Linked DNA regions of Drosophila melanogaster. The protein of the gene in region 2 interacts with the protein of the main gene of each other region in a biochemical or structural test. Each region holds a gene or a part of one and is shown on either strand. Other genes may lie near its edges. The genes, in order: Taf1, His1:CG33825 and Chro.

Region 1 (5,120 bases), on a different chromosome or scaffold from region 2:
TAGACGTCCGATGCTGCCACGACCACACTTTTTAAACATTGTCCTATTTTGATTGAGTATCTTAGCAACTTGGTTAGGCAAAACAGATTTTGGACACGTCGATAAACGCCAAAAATCTAACAAATTCGAAAAAAATATTTTATTTTAGTTTTGCTATCTATCAATGTTCCATCCATATTTTGATTTAGCTGCGTAGTATCTGATAGTCGAGGTAATCGACTAGAATTTGTTTCCTTATTGGACGATAAGAAATTTTGTACCGTAGGCAAGCTAAGTTTACATACCCTCTCAAGTAAAAACATCTCATGTAATTTTACAATATTGTCCGTATGAACGTGTGACCCTCCATGTCCCCCCATGCCCCGCCATGTCCGACCGTGTCCCAATGACGGGACTTGGCTTGGTGCGGGCTGACACGAATCTCGATCTATATGTGGATATTAGTAAACACATGTATGGAATGTCATGGAGTTCTCCTGATAATCGTGTTGGTGACAGGTAACAGCAGTGCGTTATACAGCGAAACAAGAACTATAGATTTCTTTAAGCATGGAGATGGCATATCCAGAGCCATTCCATTAAATATTCCCCCTCTAGGTAGACCTTTCTAAAAGCTATCGCAGGCAGTAACCCTCTAGTCCTCGTCCTACACAAAAACTCGAATATCAAGTGCGACATTCTGAGGGATTGTACTGAAAAACACAAGATTCACTTTGCTTTTCGCAGCCACTTTCTCATCTTAATGATCATATTCTTTCTGCAACAGCGTAAATACTTGCCACCCATCTCCAAGCTTCAAAGTGGCTTAAGTCCTGATCACGGTCGGTATACGTAAATATACGTATATTTATTTTTATTATATCATTCATTCAGCGTGGATAATTAAGTTTCGAAAATTTAATTTGAGGCATTTTATAATGAAGGGAAATTCCAAAAAGACGAAACACAAAAAAATATTCGATTTTTACTAGTCTACCTTTAAATTTTCCCACTTTGTGGTTTTCCATATCTGGGAACAGAAGCCTTGGTAAAGGTAAGTTATAAAACATATAATTAATTTGAGGTACAATGAAGTCGGTCACGGAAAGAGATTAGCAAAAAAATGTACACAATGGCATTGGTTTGTGTCCTAGAGAAATGCTGCCTTGAATTAAAATGATTCTTTAGAGTTTAAGCCATGAAAACGAATTTTCAGCCGGTTTAATCATCAGAAATACATTTTATAACGAAAATCTATTGAAAAACCATAGATTCATTTGATGTAAAAGTTTCAGGATCGGATTCTTGAAGGTGACTAAATTTGTGAGCTCAGCGTACTCTTCCTTTAATCCGTTCAAATAGTTCAAAGCCTGCATATAAAAATCCTACATTCCCATGCAGTTCTTTGGTACAAATATGACAATTTGTGACAGTACAAATCCCAAAGTTGTGGATAGTCTCTTCGAGATTATCATTAAAACGATTCTCAGCTAGAGAAAGCGCAGTTGGTAAAATCGTTTGAGTAAAACCAAGTTAAGAAGAGACTTCTGAAAATAAACATATATATATTTATAATAAAAAATGAATAATAAGAAATATATAAAAATTGATGGTTTAAGTTTTTGCTATCTGAAGTAGTTATGATTGTTTGCTACAGATTTCTGTAAAATCTGAACAACAATAGAGAAATATAGCTCCTTCAACGTTACAAAACCGTAACACAAATGTAGGTCTGAGAACTGTAATTCTAAATTGGCATTGTAGTGCTTATGTATGCCCATTTTTTCTCCAATGAGCGTTGAATAAACTATTTTTGGCTGAATAAAGTTATATTTTGATAGAAGCTGAACAAAAGTGATCGTGTTAATGGTGTTTACAGAAGTTCTATTCAGAAATATATAATTATACAAATGAAATGTACGAATATCAAAGGAATATATATTTTTTAATAAAAATCCACGTATGCCATACATGGTACAAAATTGCCAATTAAAAATATTACAGAGCCCTTTTTGTTGGACACTAACCTTCGGTACAAAACGCAATTGACCTTCCCAAGCTCCCAACCCTTGTCCAAATCTAATCGCGGATTTTCTGGTGCCAGTGGGGAGCCATGAGGCATCTTTGCTTTGTCCATCGACGGTCACACTTACGCGTGTGAAAAATGCAATTACACTCCGTCGAAGAAAATATACTTTAGCCGCGTAAACATTGCAAGCCCATAGAAATGGAGATGGAATCTGACAACAGCGACGATGAGGGATCGATCGGCAATGGATTGGACTTGACCGGCATTCTTTTCGGCAACATCGACTCCGAGGGCAGACTGCTGCAAGATGACGACGGAGAGGGGCGCGGGGGCACCGGTTTCGATGCGGAGCTCCGGGAAAACATTGGTTCCCTTTCCAAGTGAGTACACATGCTTGTACATACATATGTAAACCCGGTATCATTCAAATATATCTTAATTCACAAGATATAAGACACTTTTAATTACATTTCCATTCATATTGCGTATGGATTACTTTCAGATTGGGTCTGGATTCTATGCTGCTCGAGGTTATCGATCTCAAGGAAGCCGAGCCTCCGTCGGATGACGAGGAAGAGGAGGACGCCAGACCGTCAGCCGTCAGTGCCAGCGAAGGAATGAGTGCCTTTGATGCGCTCAAAGCGGGCGTTAAAAGGGAGGATGGCGCCGTAAAGGCTCAGGACGATGCCATTGACTACTCTGACATCACCGAGTTATCCGAGGACTGCCCACGCACTCCGCCCGAAGAAACAAGCACTTATGATGACTTAGAAGACGCCATTCCCGCCTCCAAGGTAGAGGCCAAGTTGAGTAAGTAAGACCGTAATCTACAACGGTTTGATGACATTTAATTTAACCAGTTAACACTGGTAGGAGAGGATATTGCTCAAATTTTTAAAGGTCTATGCAATTCCTGTCAAAGTGACACGATTACTTTTGCACCGCTCAGGTTGGGTTCAGACCTATTGCTATACAGAGAGAATAACTCACATTTTGTTGCAGCTAAGGACGACAAGGAACTAATGCCTCCACCAAGTGCACCAATGCGCTCCGGCTCTGGCGGCGGCATCGAGGAACCGGCCAAGTCAAATGATGCATCTAGTCCCAGTGACGATTCCAAATCTACCGATTCAAAGGGTAAAAATTATTTGAAAACAATAGAATTTTTTTGTCAATGGTCATTCCTTTAAGATGCGGATCGGAAGCTGGACACACCACTGGCAGACATACTGCCGTCCAAGTACCAGAATGTGGATGTGCGTGAGCTCTTTCCGGACTTTCGTCCCCAAAAGGTGCTACGCTTCTCCCGTCTCTTCGGACCCGGTAAACCCACGAGTTTGCCCCAGATCTGGCGACACGTGCGCAAACGCCGCCGCAAGCGAAATCAATCCAGGGATCAGAAGGTAGAAGATCAGAGTACTTTTAAACGGGACGGGATCACCAGGAAACTTTTCGTAAACCATTTCAGACGACAAACACTGGTGGTTCGGACTCTCCAAGCGATACTGAGGAGCCACGAAAGCGGGGCTTCAGTCTGCACTATGCTGCAGAGCCAACGCCAGCGGAGTGCATGTCCGACGACGAGGACAAATTGCTGGGCGACTTCAACAGCGAGGATGTGCGTCCAGAAGGACCGGACAACGGCGAGAACAGCGATCAGAAGCCAAAGGTGGCTGACTGGCGGTTCGGGCCTGCACAGATTTGGTATGATATGCTAGAGGTGCCCGACTCTGGAGAGGGGTTCAACTATGGCTTCAAGACAAAGGCAGCAAGCACCTCGTCTCAGCCGCAACTCAAAGATGAACGCCGTGTAAAGAGTCCAGAAGATGATGTCGAAGATCCAAGCATTGCGGATGATGCCTTTCTCATGGTCTCCCAGCTGCATTGGGAAGACGACGTGGTCTGGGACGGTAACGACATCAAGGCAAAGGTGCTCCAAAAGCTTAACTCAAAGACAAATGCAGCCGGATGGTTGCCCTCGAGCGGGTCGAGAACGGCTGGCGCCTTTAGCCAGCCGGGCAAACCGTCTATGCCCGTGGGAAGTGGAAGCTCCAAGCAGGGTTCGGGAGCATCAAGCAAAAAGGCCCAGCAAAAGTAATTAATTGAAAGTTGAATTCATACGTATTTTACACTAATATTTCAATCGATTTTAGTGCTCAAGCAAAGCCAGCGGAGGCACCTGATGACACCTGGTATAGCCTTTTTCCAGTTGAAAATGAGGAGCTAATATACTACAAGTGGGAGGACGAGGTAATCTGGGATGCCCAGCAAGTGAGCAAGGTGCCCAAGCCGAAGGTACTCACTTTGGATCCCAACGACGAAAACATCATTTTGGGTATTCCTGATGACATAGATCCCTCTAAAATCAATAAGAGCACGGGTCCTCCACCTAAGATCAAGATACCGCATCCTCACGTAAAAAAGTCTAAGATCCTACTTGGCAAGGCGGGTGTGATCAACGTGCTTGCGGAGGACACACCTCCGCCGCCACCCAAAAGTCCTGACCGTGACCCCTTTAACATATCCAATGACACGTAAGTCTCTTAATATAATAATGGATGCAGAATGCAGATTTTAATTCCCTTTCAGTTACTACACACCGAAGACAGAACCCACCCTACGACTTAAGGTGGGCGGTAATCTTATTCAACACTCGACTCCGGTGGTAGAGCTGCGAGCTCCGTTTGTGCCTACGCACATGGGCCCGATGAAGCTCCGCGCCTTCCATCGCCCCCCCCTAAAGAAGTACTCCCACGGGCCAATGGCCCAGTCTATCCCTCATCCTGTCTTCCCACTGCTGAAGACCATCGCAAAGAAGGCGAAGCAGCGCGAAGTGGAGCGCATTGCCTCCGGTGGCGGAGACGTCTTCTTTATGCGCAACCCAGAGGATTTAAGCGGAAGGGACGGAGACATCGTACTAGCCGAGTTCTGCGAAGAGCATCCGCCTCTGATAAACCAGGTGGGCATGTGCTCCAAGATAAAGAACTACTACAAGCGTAAGGCTGAGAAGGACAGTGGGCCGCAGGATTTTGTTTATGGAGAAGTGGCCTTTGCGCACACAAGTCCCTTCCTGGGCATCCTGCATCCTGGCCAGTGCATACAGGCGATTGAG
Region 2 (3,542 bases):
AGCAGGTCCATCCTGACACCGGAATTTCGTCGAAGGCGATGAGCATAATGAACAGCTTTGTAAATGATATTTTCGAGCGAATTGCTGCCGAAGCGTCTCGTCTAGCTCACTACAACAAGCGCTCGACCATCACCAGTCGGGAGATCCAAACGGCTGTTCGCCTGCTTTTGCCTGGAGAGTTGGCCAAGCATGCTGTCAGTGAGGGAACCAAGGCTGTCACCAAGTACACCAGCTCTAAATAATTTTCTCCTGCGAATGCGGACAATAATCCAAAACGGCCCTTTTCAGGGCCACAATGTGTTATACCAAAGAAATGCATTTTTCAACCACCAATCATTGAATATGAATTTACAAATAAAACTTATTTACCCGCAATATGGGTAATTGGGTAATGTTCAAATAAATACAAAAAAATCGGGAACGAAAACTGAATGCGACCAACATGCAATGTAATTCATGACATGAAACGTTTTATTGTTGCTGCGAACGTCAGCTAATAAATAAGTGGAAGAAAATAAAAGTTTTTTTCTCTTGCAACGGAACGTTGTAGCCCTGAAAAGGACTTGTTTAAACAAATTTCAGATCTATAAAACATAAATCTAAAATTTTAATTGCGAACATGTACCAAATACTGCACTTTTTCACAATTTACTTTTTGGCAGCCGTAGTCTTCGCTTTCGGCTTCTTGGCGGTAGCAGAAACCGATGCTTTCTTCACCGTCTTTTTGGGTTTTGCAGACACCGCTGGCTTTGCCTTTGACGCTTTCGCTACTACAGCCTTTGGCTTCGCTGCAGTCACTTTCGCCTTTGTTGCGGCGGGCTTCGACTTTATGATTCCAGTTTTCTTGGCATCCTTGGCTTTTGCCTTCTCAGTTTTCTTATTTTCGGCAGTCTTTTTGGTAGCCACAGCCTTCTTAGCTTTGGGCTTTTTGTCAGCAGCCCCAACGGCAGTTTTTTTGGAGGAGACACCAATCTTCTTAGAGGCTACCTTCTTGCTTTGAACTTTTTTCTCAGCAGACAAAACCTTCGACTTTGCCTTCGGATCCTTTTCCTTCTTGGCAGAGGCCGACAGTTTGAAAGATCCAGATGCACCCTTTCCCTTAGTTTGGATAAGCTTTCCATTGACCACGGCCGATTTTAAGTACTTCTTGATGAATGGCGCTAACTTTTGGGCGTCGCATTTATAAGTGGCAGTGATATATTTTTTGATTGCCAGAAGTGATGAACCGCCACGTTCCTTTAAATTTTTAATGGAAGCGTCCACCATTTGCTGAGTTGGCGGATGTGACGGCGTCGCAGAGGCTTTCTTTGCCTTTGTGCCAGCAGATCCAGATGCCTTTTTTTGGACCACTTTCTTCTCAACTGTCGCTGGTGGGGCAGCCACTGGGGAAGCGGACGTTGCAACTGCAGAATCAGACATCTTTTTTTCACTGAGAACACTTTTTTTCTGTTAAAAATGGCTCGCGCTCGGCCTACCAACCTCCTTTGCTCTGATGAGAATCGAGGAGGAGAGCACTTTAACAATGCTACTGACATCAGTCATTTACTATGTCGAAGTTTGCTTGAAGTGTAAACTCTTTTTAATTTTTTAGTATTTTAAATCATTAATAAAAATAAGGTTTTAATAGTTTTACAATTTTAAATAATTTTTTCGTCACTTTCCATTTTTAAAAGGATGTAATATGGGTTTTGAGACTTTCAAATGTTGATTGAATTTTTATATTCGAATTTTTAACTGGACCAATTTATAAAAAAACATCTAATAAAATAAGAATCATCGCAAATATTTCACTAATTCGTAATGTTTATTAAAATTGAAACGTTCATCCCCTAGAAAGGGCTTCTGAAAGAAGCGTCTATTATTAATTAAGATACTTTATCACTTGATTTAAGTTCACATTGAACTACAGAAAAATTTGCTTTAAAGCAGCATTCAGAAATAATTTTCGATCGTTAAAAATACAGATACTTTCTTAAATAACATAATATTAATATAATAAATAATATTTTCTTAAATTATTAATGTGTTTGCTTGTTATTAATGTGTTTTCATGCATATTTTAAAATAATTTGTTCTGAAATCAATCGATTTCCTCGCCACATATGCATTACCGTCTATGTAGTCAAATAAATAAATCAAATAAAAAATAAAAAGAAACAATTTTTGTATTATCCTTTATTATGTAATATATATTACATTCCGCAACAAAATTAACCAATTTCCGTGCTGAATTTTACATAGGTTTTATTTTTTACAGACGTTTGAAGGGACAGTGTCAATTGTCCCGTACGACCTCTTCAATAATAACACATTCTTCAGTTAACACATGGAAAAAATATAAAATAGCTAGTTTTATTTTATTATTTTCTGTTATTTTATAAATATTGCCGTCATCAATGTAATTTCATTAATTTCAAACTGTCTTACACAGAATTCAGATTTTTTTTTTAGATGTTTAAGGTTCAGAGTCCCTTGCCCCGCACGACACTTTCACTGCTTTAAAGGATGTTCGCACAAAGAACAAATAAAAATATATATTTTTGTATTAACCTCTTCTTTAATTTAATAAATGTTGAGCTGACAATTAAAATAAGATTATTTTTATTCCTTCTCTGGCAGAATTAGTATTTTTACATATGATTTAAGACCCAGTACCGTTTGCGCCATAAATAATAGAATATGAATTTTGTTCTTATTTTTTTAAGTTATAAATAGTCGGCCACAGAAAATTTTATCTCATTGAATCTGGTTTGTGGTCCTGAAAAGGACCGATTATAGAGTACGCTAGCGCTTTATCTGCAAGTTAATGCCGTGTCAGCTTAAGCACGCTCGCCGCGAATGCGTCGCGCTAACTGGATGTCTTTGGGCATTATGGTGACACGCTTGGCATGAATGGCACACAAGTTGGTATCTTCGAAGAGACCAACCAGGTAGGCTTCGCTAGCTTCCTGCAGAGCCATAACCGCCGAGCTCTGGAATCGCAAGTCCGTCTTAAAGTCTTGAGCGATTTCACGCACCAGACGCTGGAAAGGCAGCTTGCGGATTAGAAGCTCGGTGCTCTTTTGGTAGCGACGAATTTCACGCAAGGCCACGGTTCCAGGGCGATAGCGGTGGGGCTTCTTCACACCTCCGGTGGCTGGAGCACTCTTGCGAGCGGCCTTAGTAGCCAGTTGTTTGCGTGGCGCCTTTCCACCAGTCGATTTGCGAGCAGTTTGCTTGGTACGAGCCATCTCCGATTTGGGTTTCACTAAAGTTCACGTTCACTACTTCACGTTTGAAAACACAATAAACGATCAGAGCATTTGCTACCTACTTATATAGCAATCCTGGACGGTGAAAGAGAGAGAGAGAGAGAGAAAAACAGAGGCCATTTCATTTGACGAGCGAAAAGCGAACGAACATATCGTTCGTACTCTCTCGGGTTTTTGTCGTTTTACCTATAAATAGGGGCACACAGAAACGTTGAAATTAGTTCTTTAGTGACTTTCGTGCTGTGCGTGTATAATAGTATAGAACAGTGAAAAATGACTGGTCGTGGTAAA
Region 3 (7,896 bases), on a different chromosome or scaffold from region 2:
CAAAAGCATAACGGCGCATGTTTTTAACTCCACCGAGGCAGTGGCAGCGGACGCTCCATCTGCACCCGTGGGAGAATTCACTGGGCCTCCGTTTCCATGTGAAAGCTTTGACCGAATCTTGCTCGATGCACCCTGCAGTGGGCTGGGCAACCGGCCACAGTTGTCCTGCAGCATTAAACAGGTTAAGGTCTTGTCCTCATATCCCCATATTCAGCGCCGGCTATTTGAACAGGCAGTGCAGCTCGTTCGTCCTGGCGGCATCCTTGTATATAGCACGTGCACCGTCACCGAGGATGAGTGCGAATGTCTTGTGGCCTGGGCACTAAGAAAATTTGTCGAGCTGCGGCTAACAGATGCCACTCCCCGGTGGGGCGGTCCCGGACTTCCGCTTCCCGGTTTCGAGGCATGTAAATCTCGTCTGTTGCAGCGCTTCGGTCCAAGCGGAGCAAATGCGGACACTGTGGGCTTTTTTATTGCGAAGTTTCAGAAAATATAAATAAATTCAACTTCACTGAAATTTTTTGTTTATTGGGCTCGATAATTTAAACATTCGTTTTGATTTGCAAAAGTAAGCCGGCTTATGAGTGATATAAGTGAGACCTACGCTAGTGGTATTTGATCAAGAAAATTTCAACCCTACGCTTAGAAAAGCATTTGAAAAATGCAGTCTGATAACATTTAGGCTTTGCTCTCCCATAGCTGCTTGTGCTATCTTAATGGAGATACATAATGTTATCTTTTTGTTTTCGAGTTAAAAAGAACTTAAATAATTTACAATTCATAACTAATGTAATTTTACTTAAATCTAAGTCCGTCATTGTTATTTAACGATTCTTGTTAAAAGCAAAATTATGCATTTCGGGAACTTTAAAACTTTCTACGACAAAGATTTACTTAATGATTTTACGAGTTGTAAGTTAAAAGGAAGTCAAAAATATTACCAATCATTGATGGGACCCCGATAAATGCATGTTTTGTTTGTGCTTGAGGAAATTACTAAATATGATGAGAACATCGATGAAGGCTTTTAACGCTGGCGGAATCTCTCACCTTGACTGCAGTGATAATTATCGTAAAACTGCTTGACTCCCACGATAAAATAATGTTTTAAATAAGGTATTCGCATAATTTATTTCATCGTTCGATGCCTTTTGTTTCCCCGGCGCAGCATTATTGTTTCGCTAGACGTTTAGCGTTCTGGTTCCCGGTATGCTTTCGCCAGAATAATATTCACTACTCGCCAAACACGGCTCTCAGTCAGTGCTGGTGCATACTTATGGCCAAGAGAATGGATTGGCTAGGACCAAACAAAAGTGGAAATGGGAAGAACCCACCAACGTCAGGTTCTTTCAATATAATAGTCTTAAGAACTAAGCCTAATTATATGTACGGATACTATTAACATGATTTTACGTTGGGATGTTGAGCGTCTTAAACTGATCTTCGTGCATCTCAGTCATCATGAAGGTTCCATCCTGAAGCAACAAAACAACGCGACGTGTACCTCCTGAAAAAAAACAGAAAATGAACAAGTAGTTAGTTTTTGAAGAATAATCCCCTAAATATTGCTATAATTTTCTATGCAATTCCGATTTATAAAAAAGCTACCCAATGTATAGTTCTGCAAGAAGAAAAGCAAGAAAATGCTATCGACTATCATCTGATAGTATCTACCCCTCGAGAAACAAACGCACTTGCGCTGCGAATATATATCCCTGCTTAATCATTCAGTTCTCTACGTTCATACAGACAGACAACGCTAGATCTGCTCGCTTATTGATCCTGATTATAAATAGAAAATATATACTTTATATCTTCAAAAAGCTTCCTTCTACCTGTTATGAACTTTTATTATTACTCTACGAGTAACGGATATAAAAGCCAACACAAGAAGCTGGCCTTGTCAAATTTTTATGAAAAACACGACTTACCCGGTGAAGGCAAATCTGCCTGTACCACCTCCGCTGGTATCTGGGATTCCGTGCCATCGCTGTCTGACGTCGTGATATGGATCTGAGCTGTGGGTGGCGTTCCCGTTCCAGCGGCAGAAGCCTCCGCTTGTTGAAGCACCTGGTGTTGCGCCAACTCCTCTTCTGTCATGGACACGAGAATCTGTTCACCGTCCGCCGTAGCTGCTCCGACGCCGTGAGACTCGACCTGTTCACCGGCTTGAACGGCTTCGGCCACTGCGTGGTCCAGAGAAAGAACATCCTGGTCTTCTCCCTCTGCGGCTGCCACGTACGCAAATTGCTGTTCTCCATCCGGGCCCTGCGTAACGAGAATAGTTTGTCCCTCCGCATTTTTTCCCGCTACCTGGTAAACAGTGCCGTCCTCTCCTCGCACCAGCAAGGCCGAGCCGTCCTCGTTGGTAAGAACTTGTTGATCGCTGCCCAGAAGGGCCTGTGCCGCGGCTTCTAGCTGCTCTCGTTGTTGCTCCTGCTGTTGCTCCTGCTCCATTTGCAGTTGGGTCTCCTCCTGACCAATAAGCTTGCCGGTGATTGGACACAACTGAGCTTGGTGCTGATGAATCTCCTCCTCCAATTCCATTTGCAGGGGCGTTGGCTGGATTGTTGACTTGGAAACTATTCTTTGCCGGGCAGGAGTCGCTTTCTGTTGTTGACTGGACTGCTGCTGAGACAGAGCCTGTCGCTGGCGTGCCTGGGCAGAGCGCTGAGCCAACAACTCTTCCCGGGTCACTACTTTACGCGTAACTTTCAAGTCCCCTGACTTTGACAGCTGTAAAATCTTTTGCTCTGGCGTAACTGCCTTGGCACCCTGAGGAGTTTGTACTTGTTGGCGATGTTGCGGAGTTCCGACACCGGCTCGTGCAAGGACTCGACCACCCGGGTGAGCCCGGCCGGGCGCCTGCTGCAAGTTTTGACGCACATGGGATGCACCACCCACTCCAGGACGGCGATGAAGTGCTGCTGTTACAGGGCCGTGGCCGGGAGTTCGAAGCGCGTGTTGTCGCTGGCCCACAGTGATGGGCGAGTTAGCGCCCGAATGCGCAGGACGAGCCATTGGCAAACGCTTGGCTATGCCTGCGGCGGGCGGCGCAGCGATCACTTTTTGCGGAACGGGTGCAGGCGAAACGGGTGCCGGTGCCTCGGAATTTTCAACCCGAAAAACGCCTCTTGTGCTGCTGCCCACCTCGGAGCGCGAAAGATACCGCACGGGACACTCTGGTTTCTCCTTTTTCTGCAACGAATTAAGATCATTGTTATTAATTGGCTGCTGCGTAGAAATAGCATTATTTCGTAATACCAAATTTATTGTGTTTGGCATCTCGGGCTTGCGAAACATGCCGGAGCTCGTGCTATCCTCAGTATAGATGATTTCACCCATTTTTTGTTCCGTTAGGGGCGATACCACGGTGGAATTGCCGTTAATTTTAGTCTGCTGCTTTTCCGTGGACTGAATCCGTGGCTTGTTCAACTGCACGGAGCTTCCTCCGTTTTTTAGACGCTTCACGGTATGGGACGGAAGATCCTCTTCAAGGTCCTCTAGGTCCATCGAGTCGTTTAACCCGCTCCCCTCTAAACTTGAGTCTGTATTGTTCAGCTTTCGCTTGATCGCTCCAGAAGATGGTGGCCATTCCTGTTCCGTGGAGGATTCATCTTCGTTTGCCGAGGAAGGCGAGGAGGATCCATCTCCGGCAACGGTTTCATTGACCCACTGCTTAAAGGCATCCATAGCCTTGGTCTTGGAAGTTCGAGATGGCCGAGAAGACGGCGATACCTGCGACGACGCCGGAAGTGGGCTGTGTGGGGCGGCAGTATCTGACTTTGCGTTTGTCCCTGATGACTGCATGCGCTTCAGAGCATCCAGACCCTTCTCCCTAGTAAGTTTTTGGCGTGCCAATTGCTTTTCGAACATCTGCAAAAAGTATGGCACACGCTCGAGATTGGCCATCACCTCCCAGGTGTTTTCATGATGCGAGCGATCAACCCACTTAACCAAATACTCGTGGGTCTTACGGCGCGGATTGAAGCGCTTAGCGACAATCTTTTCCACTGGCTCTTCGGTGCGCTGATCTGTCTTGGAATCGATCCTAATGGCTATGCGGTTGTTCGGCTTCACGGCTCCGGCAGAGGGAACTGAGGAAGGCGTTGGTGTACTCGGCTTGGACTTGGGTCTTTCGTTTTCTGTATCCTTTAGTTGATTGGCTAACGTAGGCAGCTTACCGGTTGGTGATTCTGTTGATTTAAATATAGTTTAATAACAAGTGTGACTTTTATTTAGAATGTTTTGTATTACTTCTGGTAGGGGAGACGCTCGTGTTGTTGTTGTTGCTATTTGATGTGTTGTTATTGTTTGGATTGACCACAGTCTTTGTTATTCGCACAGGCATGTCCTGGAGTTGTCCGTGTGCAATTTTGCCGAATGACTGTATGGTCTTCCCAGCCACAATCCACGGCTCGCGGACGCTATCGTCTAGTTTTACCCAATGCTGGTACAAGGCCCACGAGCTGCCGGACGCGTCCTTGCGCGAGTGCAGCTGAGTAGCTTTCCATAGCGTAAAAGCCCAGATGGTGGGCTTGGGATCGAGCGATTCCTTCAAATTTGCATTTTCCTTTTCGCAGGCGTCCTCTTTGTGGGCCTGAAACTCTTCCACGAAGTTGTAGGCCCGGAGACATCGTCCACATACAAGAACGTCCATGTTTGCCAATTCCTCCTGTGCAGCTGCAGGGCAGAACACAAAATTAACAATAAAAATTATTTACCAATGTTTTTAGTCACTCACCTCTTATAATGTTTGCGTGTTTGCCGATTTCCGTAGGTGAAATCTCCTGTGCCAACATTATTCACGACTCCAGCGCCCAAGCCTTTGAAGAGAGCATTTAAAGTGTGACTTAAAAATAGTGCTGAATGGAGTCTTATTATTTGTTATTGCTTGGTTTTGAAATATTGGTAAACGGCGAAGAAAAAGTACAGTGCCGTGGTGTGTTTGTGCTAACTTGAACCAGGTGGCAACGCGAACGGTCGCTGTCTGCGGTGTGTGTCCGATATGGTGAGTTCAAGCATATGTACATCTGCAATGGGCAAAATGCAGCGGCGCTTAGGCAGCCGAAAAAAAACACTAAGTACATTATGAAAAGAACGAGCCTGCCGCACTGTTGTAGATATATAATATAATAAAACACAGAAAAGCACGAACTATGCGTAATGCGACTTTATTAGTTACTTAAACTTATCTGTTACAAATGCATTTGAACTTCAACACAGCTAAAAATTAAAATAAATAAAACCCTATGGTTCGATCCTATTTGTTTTCATTTAAAAAAAAGGATTACATATAGTTTAAATAATATCAAAGTTCACAATTTCATTTTGCCCGCTAAACCTTGCAGGCACTAGATATAGGCCAGGTATGATTGCAAATAAGCCTATTCCACATATCATTAAATTAAAAGATTTCTCTAGAACACTTTGGTACACACCTTCATAAACAATTTTGGATAAATATCAAACTGAATGTTGTTTCAAACGGTTATTTTAATTTAACTGACTCCCGATTTTTCAACACGAGCAGCTCCACTGCTGCTCACAGTTGTACGCGCGAACTCTGAATGCCAAAAGCGAAATTCGGCTGCACGGAAATTGTCCAGAGATGATTTGGTTCCGGCTGTGCGGACCTTAGAATGCTCTTCTGTGCTAAGCTATTTAAATCCTAATATTACTGGGAGTGTATTGCCTGTCGATAGCTTTAAACTAACTGCAGTCCAGTAAATTTTAAGATTTCGAAGGTTTTTTCGAATATAGTATATGATATAAAACGCGGGTTTCAATGCTTGCACGGTTTTAAGTGCCCAAACTTAGGGTGTAGCGCCCTTTTCAGTTCGCCCGTGTGGCGGTGCACTTAGTTAGCCAATTACGCGTCGTGGTGGGTATATTTATTGATGTGGCAACTTTGGGCGCAATAATAATAATATTGTACTTTTTTTGTTCATATTAGGTAAGAAATTCGAAATTATTTTTTATTATTTCATTTTATTATGTCATTCTTTTGTAGATATTTATTGATATAAATACTTACCCAGGGTTGCCACCCAGTGTATTGTATTTAACGTAGGCCCTGTGTGTACACACTGTTACATTAGCCGGCGCATTTTATTTAGCGTTAATTGCTTTTCTTTCTTGATTTGACTTGGTAGTGCATCAGGACTGCAAGTATGGCCGACGATGAGCAAGAGGACCAGAAGGAGTACCGCTGGGAAACGGGCTATGAAAAGACATGGTGCGATGGTGTGCGTGACAATGTAAGCCCGCACTTACTTTTAATCCTATTAGGGAGGCCATCAAGGACGACGAGGATGGGATGCTGGATGGAGCCATTGCAGAGATCATTCAGAAGGCCAAACGCCAGAGGCAGGCTCAAAAGTCCAAGCAGAACCGCCTGGGCATGATGCGCCACATGTTCGTTGTGCTCGATTGCTCTGAGTCCATGAGCGTGCCTGATTTGAAACCCACACGACTGCGGTGCACCGTCAAGCTGCTGGAGCTGTTTATCGAGGAGTTCTTCGATCAGAACCCCATCAGCCAATTAGGACTCATAGCGCTAAAAGCTAAGCGAGCGGAGAAGGTGACCGAACTTACCGGCACTTCGCGCGTGCACCTCAAAGCGCTAGAGAGGTAAGAACCGAATCAAACCAGCGTTCTCCATTTATATCCCCTTTTTGTTTAGCTTGGCTAACGTGTCCTTGACCAGCGAGCCTTCGCTGCAAAATGGCCTAGATCTGGCCCTAAAATCGCTTAAGGTGGTGCCGTCGCACGCCTCCCGAGAGATCGTCATTATCATGGGCTCGCTCACCACATGTGATCCTGTCGATATTAACCTCACCATCGACGAGTTAAAAAAGGAGGGCATACGCTGCTCGGTTATTTCCCTGTCCGCTGAGATTCACGTGGCCCGCTACCTCACTCAGCAAACAATGGGCACCTTCGGGGCTGTTTTGGATGATGCACATTTTCGGGATCAACTCATGTCTCAGGTAGATCCACCGCCCGCCGCTAAGACTCAGCACAACTCGCTTATTCGCATGGGCTTCCCGCACACAAAGAATGAAGTTGAGGGCAAGGACGCGCCATTGTCCATGTGCATGTGCCACATAGAGAACTTGGAGGAGCCCAGTGAACTGACCACTACTGGCCACCACTGCCCGCAATGCAACAGCAAGTACTGCGAGCTGCCCGTGGAGTGCCAGTCTTGCGGCCTCACCCTGGTCTCCGCGCCGCACTTGGCGCGTTCCTACCACCACCTTTTCCCGGTGCCAAATTTTGAGGAACTGCCGTTTGAGGCGATGCCTGCTTCGTCATCCGACCTCACCAGCGATGTCAGGGAATGTTACGGCTGCGCCAAAGCTCTTGGGCAAGGCGTTGACAAGGTCGCCGATAAAGTCGTCTTCAGATGCGGTTTCTGCAAGCAGTTCTTCTGCGTTGACTGCGACATCTTCATTCACGACACATTGCACGCCTGCGTGGGATGCAACACCATTCCCGGCGTAGACGGTCTGGTTTACCAGCAAAGTTCCAAGTCTGACCAGGTTGATGCACACCCAGGGCCCTCAAAGCAGCGCGGCCAGTGTGGGATGTAACTGACTTTCTATAGATAGATATTTCGAACTTCCACATAACTACGCATTTGGGGCAAACAAAATACAGTTCGTTTCGAAACGGTGGTTATGAGTTGTATCAATTAAAATCTGGTTTTATGCTTAATAATTGTGAAGGCGAGCGTAGCATTATTATGGCCGTTGTGTGAGACCCTCTCAATTGTATTGCTAATTACTTGGTCATAGGCTCTCTGTGCCGCTTCATGCGAACTTGGCGCACTTTTGTCTAGAGCTCGCTTGAGTTCATCATCAGCGTTTGCCGCATTCGGTCGGGTTTAGTTGC

The links.
Region 1: of the proteins of His1:CG33825 (region 2) and Taf1, one has a biochemical effect on the other in vitro, tested with the Drosophila melanogaster proteins (one study listed by BioGRID).
Region 3: the proteins of His1:CG33825 (region 2) and Chro interact in far-western blotting, tested with the Drosophila melanogaster proteins (one study listed by BioGRID).

Annotation. Positions count from the first base shown.
Region 1 is NT_033777.3:6,644,784-6,649,903, forward strand, and holds the start of Taf1 (TBP-associated factor 1), read left to right. Parts: upstream 1-2,105; 5' UTR 2,106-2,206; coding exon 2,207-2,388; intron 2,389-2,510; coding exon 2,511-2,818; intron 2,819-2,881; coding exon 2,882-3,145; intron 3,146-3,199; coding exon 3,200-3,411; intron 3,412-3,476; coding exon 3,477-4,102; intron 4,103-4,161; coding exon 4,162-4,542; intron 4,543-4,597; coding exon 4,598-5,120. UniProt on the Drosophila melanogaster protein: TFIID is a multimeric protein complex that plays a central role in mediating promoter responses to various activators and repressors. Largest component and core scaffold of the complex.
Region 2 is NT_033779.5:21,469,295-21,472,836, reverse strand, and holds His1:CG33825 (histone H1), read right to left. Parts: upstream 1,579-3,542; 5' UTR 1,420-1,578; coding exon 649-1,419; 3' UTR 556-648; downstream 1-555. Other genes in the region: His2B:CG33894 (histone H2B), read left to right, coding at 1-242; His3:CG33824 (histone H3), read right to left, coding at 2,820-3,230; His4:CG33895 (histone H4), read left to right, coding at 3,525-3,542. UniProt on the Drosophila melanogaster protein: Histones H1 are necessary for the condensation of nucleosome chains into higher-order structures.
Region 3 is NT_037436.4:22,873,193-22,881,088, forward strand, and holds Chro (chromator), read right to left. Parts: upstream 5,793-7,896; 5' UTR 5,442-5,792; intron 5,034-5,441; exon of another isoform or gene 4,827-5,033; 5' UTR 4,803-4,826; coding exon 4,745-4,802; intron 4,684-4,744; coding exon 4,258-4,683; intron 4,197-4,257; coding exon 3,265-4,196; intron 3,199-3,264; coding exon 1,932-3,198; intron 1,508-1,931; coding exon 1,410-1,507; 3' UTR 510-1,409; downstream 1-509. Other genes in the region: CG11109 (uncharacterized protein), read left to right, coding at 1-496; Ssl1 (suppressor of stem-loop mutation), read left to right, coding at 6,174-6,238, 6,292-6,633, 6,686-7,595.